Danio rerio: one gene and its partner. The protein of the gene in region 2 interacts with the protein of the main gene of each other region in a pairwise test. Links are inferred from orthologs where the notes say so. Each region holds a gene or a part of one and is shown on either strand. Other genes may lie near its edges.

What was found. The genes of interacting proteins can lie anywhere in the genome.
Region 1: the proteins of eaf1 (region 2) and stac3 interact in binary tests that used the Homo sapiens proteins (3 or more experiments, as listed by UniProt). The two-hybrid records come from large-scale screens. The link is inferred for Danio rerio from reciprocal best matches to the Homo sapiens genes EAF1 and STAC3.

What each region holds. Positions count from the first base shown.
Region 1 is NC_133184.1:262,852-267,777, reverse strand, and holds the start of stac3 (SH3 and cysteine-rich domain-containing protein 3), read right to left. Parts: upstream 3,119-4,926; 5' UTR 2,971-3,118; intron 728-2,970; exon of another isoform or gene 636-727; 5' UTR 592-635; coding exon 575-591; intron 496-574; coding exon 417-495; intron 1-416. Other genes in the region: si:ch211-166e11.5 (sterile alpha motif domain-containing protein 3), read left to right, coding at 4,787-4,840. UniProt on the Homo sapiens protein: Required for normal excitation-contraction coupling in skeletal muscle and for normal muscle contraction in response to membrane depolarization. Required for normal Ca(2+) release from the sarcplasmic reticulum, which ultimately leads to muscle contraction.
Region 2 is NC_133191.1:7,227,650-7,232,764, reverse strand, and holds the start of eaf1 (ELL-associated factor 1), read right to left. Parts: upstream 3,045-5,115; 5' UTR 2,974-3,044; coding exon 2,871-2,973; intron 77-2,870; coding exon 1-76. UniProt on the Homo sapiens protein: Acts as a transcriptional transactivator of ELL and ELL2 elongation activities.

The sequences.
Region 1 (4,926 bases), on a different chromosome or scaffold from region 2:
TCACCGTACACACTGCAGGTCTCATTTATGAAGCCCCAGCAGAACTAACGTTGAAAACACTACTCAATAATAGTCCATTAGTTAATGTTAGTGAATGCAAAAACAGTAGCTAAAGTTCAATTTAACAAGGCTTAAAAATGACTAATATTTAATCAAATCAAAAGTGATGGCAGAGCATTTTGATTTCCGGCATAGGTGGGTTTATGCAGATTATGAATGAGGGAGCACACACCCTTTATTTATTAATTAATTTAGTTTAATAAGTTAAACAACAGTTCATATTTAAATATATCTCAGTTCTGACAAGTGTTTGTGAATAGGGTTTTCAGGAAGCTTTGTGCTACACAAATAATTCACTCCTGTATTTACAAATGTGTGTTGAATGAGAGCTAATAAGAGAAGGTGATCATACGTACAGTGTTGTCGTCCTCTTTCACCACATTCTCTGGCGCTGGAGGGTTATCGTGGATGTCCAGCGAGTCTTTATCCTCCAGTCTGGAACACATTGAGCATTAGGATAGCTGTAATCTTATATAATGCTCCTGAAAGACTGTTTAATCTGTCAAACACTCACTGGTCATATTGAGCCATCAGTCCAGCCTCTTCAGACGCAGTCAGTCAGCAGAAATCCGCACCTGCAGGAGACACTCACCAGCTTCAAGAAAACTCCAGCTTGTGTACACCTGCTCTCTTCATGCGTTTACTCTGATCAGATATCTGTCTGATTCTGAAAAGCGTTTACATTAACCACTAGCAACCCAGCAAGCATTTTTTGTTTTTAAAAGATGTCTAATAGATGTCTGATAGACGTCCAAACAATGTCATCTCAGCTCAAACAAGGATAAACTTGGGCTGAACATCTAATAGACGTCCATAGGTTAAAACTAGACTAGCCATCAAATAAACAGAAATGAAGGACTACACATATAGAGTCTGTCTAATCTGTCCACTTGACGACTATAGTCTAGTTTTGGGCTATTCTTAGATGTCTATTAGATTTTCACTGACAGCCCAAGTTTAGTCTTGTTTTAGCCAAGCTGTTTATGCTTAGATGTCTATTAAACGTCTATTAAAAACTAAATTGTGTGCTGGGAAGTAAACCGGTGTGTAATTCCTGCAACGATGCCCACATTTTCTCAAAATAGATCAGAGAGGGAGCATGCAAATGGAAAATAACAACGGGGCCAAAATAGAGCCCTGGGGAACCCCACAGGTCAGTGGAGCATCCTGTAAGAAATGTGGATCGTCATGTGCGCATAATATGTGGTTTTAAACGAGAGCACATCTCTCATGCACATCAGAACACCTCCTGAAGTGGTCTGAGTATTCATATCTCTCTTGACAAATCATCATAATTATTAGATTCTGACTTGTAAACACATGTTTGTAAAGTGCTATGATCACTGACATATTAGCCGCTGTGATTAGGTGTTTCCAGTGGTGTAAAGTAACTAATTACAAATACTCAATTTACTGTAACAAAGTAGTTTTCTCAGGAATTGTAATTTAGAGAGCAGTTTTATAAATGTGGGCTTTTACTTTCCCTTGAGTACGTTTACTGCAGTATCTGTACTTTTACTCCACTAATTTCCTTCATCCTGCAGTCACTACTGTATTTTTTCTTGTCTATGGAGATTAGAGAGATCAGTCCTGTGGTTCCTGTCTGATCAAATCACACACTGAAGGTAAGTCACCTCATAATGAACTACCTCAAGATGATTTATAATTGCAGCAAACTGTTTAGAAGCATTTAAAGTGCATAAAAGAAGATGTCCACAATCTTCACACTCACTGACCCAGAGACTGTTTAGATGCACATCACTGATGAGAAGATGGCAAATGTTTACTATATGATGAGCCAAATGGCCTTAAACAGCCAGCAGGCACAAGACGTCAACATGACGTCAGATTGACCTTGTACACTAACATCTTGGAGACAGTGCATTTTGTTTGGAAGTGAAAATCAGTTTGACGTCAGAACTCAATGTCAGGCCAACGTCAATGTCTAACGTTAAACCTGAAATCAACCTAAAATCAACGTCTAATGATGTTACAGCTTGACGTTGTGTGGACGTTACCACTATGACGTCTATCAGATGTTGGATTTCGGTTGCCATACCTGATGAAATAATATCAGTATGTGACGTCAATGTGATGTTGGTTTAAGGTGTTGGCGCGACATTAGATTTTGGTCACTTTCTAAAAACCTAAAATCAACCAAATATCAACGTCATTTGATTTGCACTGGTTAGAAACTGAATTTTGGTTTCCCGACATCACAACTTAAATCTAACCTAATATTAACGTCTTATGACATTGTGTACCTGCTGGGCAATCACTAGATGCACTACAGAATCTTACGTTTACACACACACATGTGCAAGTTACATGTAAACGCATCAGCTTTTCACAGTGTAATACTCCCTACTCTTGAGTACGTTTGAAAGCTATACTGAGTAATATTTACAGCAGACACTTTTACTCTACTGCACTACAGTTTTAGGCAAGTATGTGCTTGTACTTAAGCATGATTTTACTGTACTCTTTCCACCACTGGGTGTTTCTAATGTTGACCTTGCAGTGCGAAATTGGGAATCTGAGGATGTCCACTCCGTGTTGAGACAGATTTCTGGTTCTCTTATTGAAAATAAAGTAATTTCAGGGTGGCGAATGCAGTGCAATGATCATGTCACACCCTACATACACCTGTTTATTATGGAATAAATGAACACAAAAAGGTTTCACAGTTAATTTGTACACATGAGAGCATGATGAAATCCTCAAATCCACACACACAACTTCTATATCTGAGTTGGAAACTTTTTTTGAGGCCAACAAATTCAGGATCTCTCACTAAACTGAGCTACAGGAACAAATCAGAAACGTTTTCTAGACTATACATAGAAAAGATTTAAATGCACACAACCACTAAATCATGCCATCAGAACAAGCAAGTTCAAGCATACACACCTGTAGATGATGTGTTTCTGTGCTATAATCCCAGTTTTCAGTCAGTGAGGTGTGACCCTGATACAGATAAGTTAATATTTGCTTCAGCACAGAAGATAATCTTAACTCAGTAATAACCAGACTGCTCTGAACTGAGGATTGAACACTTTGTGTGTGTGTGTGTGTGTGTGTGTGTGTGTGTGTGTGTCACTGTGAGTGTTTTCAGCAGGTGTTAGATGACGGAGAGTAATACGAGTCTCTCTGTATATCTGTCCCTCTGACAGACAGGCACACATGCAGACCTTCACACACTCACAGCAGGCCTGCAGCTGAACAGCACCTTTTTACTAAACATTATGACTTCTCTAATGTCACACAGTAATAAATATATTTAATTAATTCATTAATGAAGAAGCACTTTCTAGCCAAGTGAATAAAACTCCAGCTCTTCTACAGTGTAGATTGTGTGGCAGCAGCTGAACACAGAAGTTCTAGTGAACTGAAGCCGTGTCAGTCCAGTGTTCAGAGCTCAGTTCAGTTCAGTGTGGTTGAATCTTCACTGCTGAGAGTCCAAACACTGAAGAGCAAATCCATCCATGTGCATCTCCACAAGTCCCAAACCAAGCAGGACAGTGGCGACAGAGGAGGAACTTCACCAGTTGACCAATTGAGGCTGGAGAACGCTGGACGTCCATCCTGGAGAAGCCGCAGGTGTGAGTGGGTCACCGGCTGGTGTTCGGGCTGGCCCTGGGGAAAAAAAATGTGTTAGGTTCCTTGGGGTCCTCCAAACATGTACAGACCAATCACAGGAAATATATTAATTTATTCATTCATTTTCCTTCAGCTTAGAGGTCGCCACAGCGGAATGAACCTTATGGATAGGGTGAGGAGCTCTGTCACCTGGGAGGAGCTCAGAGTAGAGCCGCTGCTCCTCCACATCCAGAGAAGTCAGCTGAGGTGGCTCGGGCATCTGTTTCAGAAGCCTCCTGAACGCCTACCTATAGGCCTCGGGGCAGACCCAGGACACTAATTGCTACACTGATTGCTAAATTTACAATAATGGATATACTAAACAAAAGATTGAGAACATGAGCTTCATTTTCCAGCTTTCATCATATCTCAAAAAACAAAAATGACATATTCATACAGTAGCACATCTCATCTATTACTGTGACTCTCTGGCTCAAGTGCCAGAAAATAGGATTTAGCTTATTAAAAGCTTATTTACGCCAATGTTCAGGGGCTTGTGGCAGCTGTTACAGCTTTATTCCACAACAGCCACATACAATTCATACATTCAATAAGCATTTGGCAAACACGTTTATTCAAAGCAACTGAAAATGAGAGCAATATGAGTAATCAAAACAACAATATACCAGAAATAGGTCAGTAATATATTTCAGGTGTACAAATCTTTCTGGGTTTTTATGTATAATGATGATGATTATGTGATTATATATATATATATATATATATATATATATATATATATATATATATATATATATATATATATATATATATATATATATATATATATATTACACAGTATCAACAAAATCGTTCACAAACGAGCACTGTTAATGAATGAAAACATGTTACCAATCGAATTCCTTCTTTGTAAACAATATACAATAGTTTTCCCAGTGCTGGGTTGCAGCTGGAAGGGCATCCGCTGCGTAAACATGTGCTGGATAAGTTGGCGGTTCATTCCGCTGTGGCGACCCCAGATTAATAAAGTGACTAAGCCGAAAAGAAAATGAATGAATGAATGAATAGTCTTCCTACAAGCCTTTAATTTAACACGTGAACAGGACTTTTATTTTGGTCGTGCGATATGACGTCACAGGCGCGAGCCGCGCTCCCGTGTTTGTGGTTCGGCTGGAGAAAGGTTTGTGTTTTCAAGCGTTTAAAGTGTTTAATTCGACAAGTCTATTGTATACTTGCTAATGTCTTCATAAAAGGGTTCATTATTAT
Region 2 (5,115 bases):
ATGGTAACCTCATCTCCTTTTCCCACTTGTAAATCTCCTTCACAGGACGTATCGATAGACGCTGGTTTAAAATCATCTGTGGAGGAATAGCACACAATTGTAAACGTACAGTACGACAATGAAGCTAGTTTTTCATTCTCTTTTTATTTATTTAATTGAAATAAATGTATCTTTACTAAAATAATAAAATCAATGCATTTCATTACTACAATTTTTTGTGCCTGTTTTCATTCTCACAAACTAAATTCTATAATTATGCCTTGGTTTTAGGTAGGGGGCTTCGATTGGCTGATAATCACATTTAATGACTCGATCGGTACTTGCTGATCAGGGGTGCGTTTCCGAAAATCATTGTTAGCCAACTAAAGTCGTTACAAACATACTTCAATGATTAGCCGTTTCCCAAATCCATCGTTCCAACAAACATTCGCAAACTGCGTTGTAAACTTGTATGCTTGCAACTACACCTCTGGAGCTGTAGTTAGAAACATAGTTCCTGGCTGTGTGCTATTCCCAGCTATCCCCCCTATGCCCATTTCATTTAAAACATTCTAATATTTAAAATTGGAATGACTAAAAAAGCATTAAGCTCATTCCTCTTAGGTATAATTTGCTTTCAAACTATTTTTTCAGTTCAGTATGCTGCGTTCACACCAGATGCGGAACGCGCGGATAAATCGCGCTATTCGCACGTAAATAGCCGCGTGAACATTTGAGTTTACTGGCTTCATTCGAGCGTCAAACCCCACTTCATTCGCACGTCAAATTCACTTCAGAACAGACGCGTATTCGCGTGATAGGCAGGGCTTCTGTCTGCCCGGTGACTGTAGCTTTGTTGCTAAATGGCTAACATGGATTTTATGAAGAAAATAACAGTGTTTATGTGTTTATGAAGGCTGAAAAACAGCCCCGGGACACCTACAACAGGAGATACGTCACAATCACGCCCCCACAAGGCAAGCTCCTGATTGGTTAACGCGGCGCGAATGTTAACATGTTAATCACTCGCGCTTGACGCGCATTCCGCGTCTGGTGTGAACACAGTATTAAAAATTTTCAAATTGACAATTGTGTCCCTCCGCAGTGCACTTTGAAAACATTGATGTCATTTTGAACACAGCCGCGGCTCATGACTAAAGCTATAGGTGACCTATTATTTAAAAGCAGAATTTATGTTACGTCTCCAAAGCTTGTGAAAACAAAAAACACAGCATGCGTTAAAGATTTTAATTTATAGTGGGTAATTTATTAAGTATCTGTACTGTATATGACAAGGGCCTGTTGATTAGCACATTTCTGTTGTGGTTCTCATGTCAAATTGTAAAAGTAGACTTTTCAAAAAATTTTAAATAAATAAGCAAACAATATCCTACTTATTAATAATAATAATAATTGTCATTATCATTAATTTTATTAAAGTGGTATATTTTTTTAATACATAATGAATATAAAATTTCATTTCTCAATAAATAGCCTCATTATTTATTTATTTATTTATTTATTTATTTATTTATTTATTTATTTATATATGATATCAAAATGCATTTTCGCTTTTTTAAGTGGTTTTATGTCTTACAATAGAATATGTAATGTTCTTAATAATATTTGTAAAGGAATCACATGCCCTGTATGTTCAATTTACATATATTTAAGTTACTATGGAAAACAAGTGCATGTTTTTACCTAACCTAATATTGGATTTTTTTTAAATGCGTGTTTGTGTAAAACAAAATAATTTGCACAAAGAAATGATGGGTTTTTCTCTAAAGAAGTAGTTACTCTACGCCATTTACAGCATCATTATGGGCATTTTACGTTATTAATACCATGGTTCAAACGATGGATCTGTGACAGAGAAACTATGGGTTTTGGGAAACACTCGTCACTACATTCAATTGTTCTTTTCCCAAACTATGCATCACATGATGAAGCCGCGAGTTACGTCATTGTTTGGGAAACGCACCCCTGACTGATCTCATGAACCAGTCGCAAGTATTTGTGTTAGTCCAGGGGTGTCAAACTCAATTCCTGGAGGGCCGAAGCCCTGCACAGTTTAGTTCCAACCCTGCTCCAACACTCTTACCTGTAGGTTTCAAACAAGCCTGAAGGACTCAATTAGTTTGATCAGGTGTGTTGAATTAGGGTTGGAACTAAACTGTGCAGAGCTGCGGCCTTTTTGGAACTGAGTTTGACACCTGTGTGTTAGTCAGAGAAGAGCAAAATATTTGAATGACCTTGCATCTATTTAGGCCTTTTTATATATATAAGAACTGAAATAATTTCTCTGTTTTTTACAAAATATTGTGAGTTCACTAAATCCTGGCTGAATAAATTACATTACTAAAACAAAAAATATTTTTTAAGATGAATATTTGATAATATAACTTTTTTTTTAATAAACGTATTGCTATAAAAAGTGGTTTATTGGCCTATTTCCTTTTAGCAAAGAAGTATTAGATTTGAAGGTGTGCGAATGTGGTTAATATTATTATAGAAAATGTTTTCCTATCTTTTAAGACAGGGGTCACCAATCCTGGTCCTGGAGGGCCGGTGTCCCTGCAGGGTTTAGCTCCATCTTGCCTCAACATACCTGCCTGGATGTTTCAAGTATACCTAGTTAGACCTTGATTAGCTTGTTCAGGTGTGTTTGATTAGGGTTGGAGCTAAAATCTGCTGGACACCGGCCCTCCAGAAACAAGTTTGGTGAGCACTGTTTTAAGAGAATGTTCTGGGAACTAAAACAAAACTACCCGCGGAAAACAGTAATGCAACATTGCTTGGTAATATGCTTAGAGCATGTAGAGAACTGAAAATTTCTAGTTGGGATATACTTTGAATAACGCATGTTATGTCTCTCTTGATGGACTCACATCTGATGGTGTGAAAGGATGATTTTGGTCTCTTCTCAAAACTGTCCCCGAGCTTCAACACATGCTCTTCTTTATCCAGCGGCGGGTTCGAGCTGCCGTTCATCACTGCGCGTCACATTGAATTCACCAACTTCACCCAAAATGAAAAAATCCTCGGTTTATCCACATGTAAACAAAGACAAAAGGAGAAGACGCTAAAAGCAAAACAATCCTGACAGATTCAAAACTTCCGGGTCACAGAAACCAAAAATAACGCATTCACCTTAGATGTTTGGTTTATTTTACTTTTAAAAATACAAGTTTTATCACTTAAAAAATAATTTCCTTTATAAACCGCACTTGGGGAATAACAAATAAGAATGAAATACAGAAACAAACGTTTTTGTGGTTTCACTTCCGGGTCAGTGAAAAAAAGTGTTTATAAATACGTAAACAATGTAAGATTATTATTTTATTGAACTTTTTCTGATACTATTTAAATATCTGCATAAATTAAAAACACTCTGGTAACTTATTTACATGAAATGTAAATATATTTAGCACATACCCAGTAAGTTGATGGCGTGACACTCGTCCGATTACCGTAGCTACACAAAAACACCAAACATCCTGTTTCCACACTTCCACATTTCACTTAGATATCCTTTTAGATGACAGAAAAAACATCGCATACGCCAATAAAGTTTTAAAGTAACACAAATAAAGAAAATAGTTAAGCAAACAGAAGAACCAAAGACGCTTATATTATTTTTAGGTTACATTTTTTTGGTAGTTACGGTAAAGCGACATAAAGCGGTTCCTGATTCATATTGAAGGCTGTAGTCCTCGACATGTGTCAGTTGTGTACACGAGTATGAAGTACACATCACATGTAATTACAACCATGGCAACTACACAACCTAGCATCATTCTGTTATTCAGTGGGAAGCGAAAGTCAGGAAAGGACTATGTGACAGATTTAATACAGAAAAGGTAAGTTCTCTAGTTCTCTATAGCCCTGTCGCGTGAACAGATTAAACTCGGTAATAAAGATGCTTTTATTTTATATTTCAGACTGACTGCAGAGATGTGCTGTATTCTCAGACTGTCTGCACCCCTCAAGGAGCAGTACGCAAAGGTAAGTTACACTTCTGCAACCTAACTGAAATAACTCACGTTCGTGGTGCAAAATAAAGTACACTGACTACCTGACAGTCCTGTCGTCGAGCCCAGTTGTAAGAGCAACAAATAATACCTCACTTCTAGTTGATCATTTGGAGAAGTGGCAGAAGGTAGATTATTATTTTATTTTTTTTTAGATGAATCATCTGTTGATCTGCATTTAAATCATCAAAAATGCTGCAGAATATCTATTGCAAACAGCATGGATCAAAGATTGTCAGAGAAATCAGTCAAGTTCGGTGAAGGAAAAATCATGGTTTGGGGTTACATTCAGTATAGGGGCGTGCAAGAGATTTGCAGTGGATGGCAACATCAACAACCTGAGGTATCAAGACATTTGTGCTGTACATTACATTAAAAACCACAGGAGAGGGCAAATTCTTCAGCAGGATAGCGCTTCTTCTCATACTTCAGCCTTCACGTCAAAGTTCCTAAAAGTAAGCAAGGTCAAGGTGCTCCAGGATTGACCAGCCAAGTTACCAGAACTGAACATTATTGAGCATGTCTGGGGATGAAGATGGAGGAAGTCCTGAAGATGAATCCAAAGCAATCATGATGATCTCTGGGAGTCCTGCAAGAACGCGTTCTTTGCCATTCCAGATGACTTTATTAATAGTCCTCCAAGCTCATGATGGAGTCATACACAATATTCATTATTTTCCACTGCAGCATGACTTAATATTCTATACTGGACATTATTTCTGTTAATGACAAGACTTTTGTCTAAGCAAAGTCAGACCTTAATTAAATAATTAAAAATCAAGGCATGATCATATTTTATTTTGCTAAAATAATCATAATCTAGACGCCTTTGCCTTTCATATAAGCCACTTTCTATACCAAGTGATCAACTATAGATCAAGTTATTATTTGTTGTTCCTAAAACTTGGACAGGCGACAAGACTTTTGTCAGGTAGTGTACACTACAATTAACAAGTGATAAGAACAATGAATAAAATTGTAATTAACACAAAAAAATGACTATAAACATATTATTTATTTTACTGTTTGAATAAAATGCAGCAATATATTTTGTTTATGGTGGTTCATTCCGCTGTGGCGCCCTCTGCTGAAGGAAAGTGAT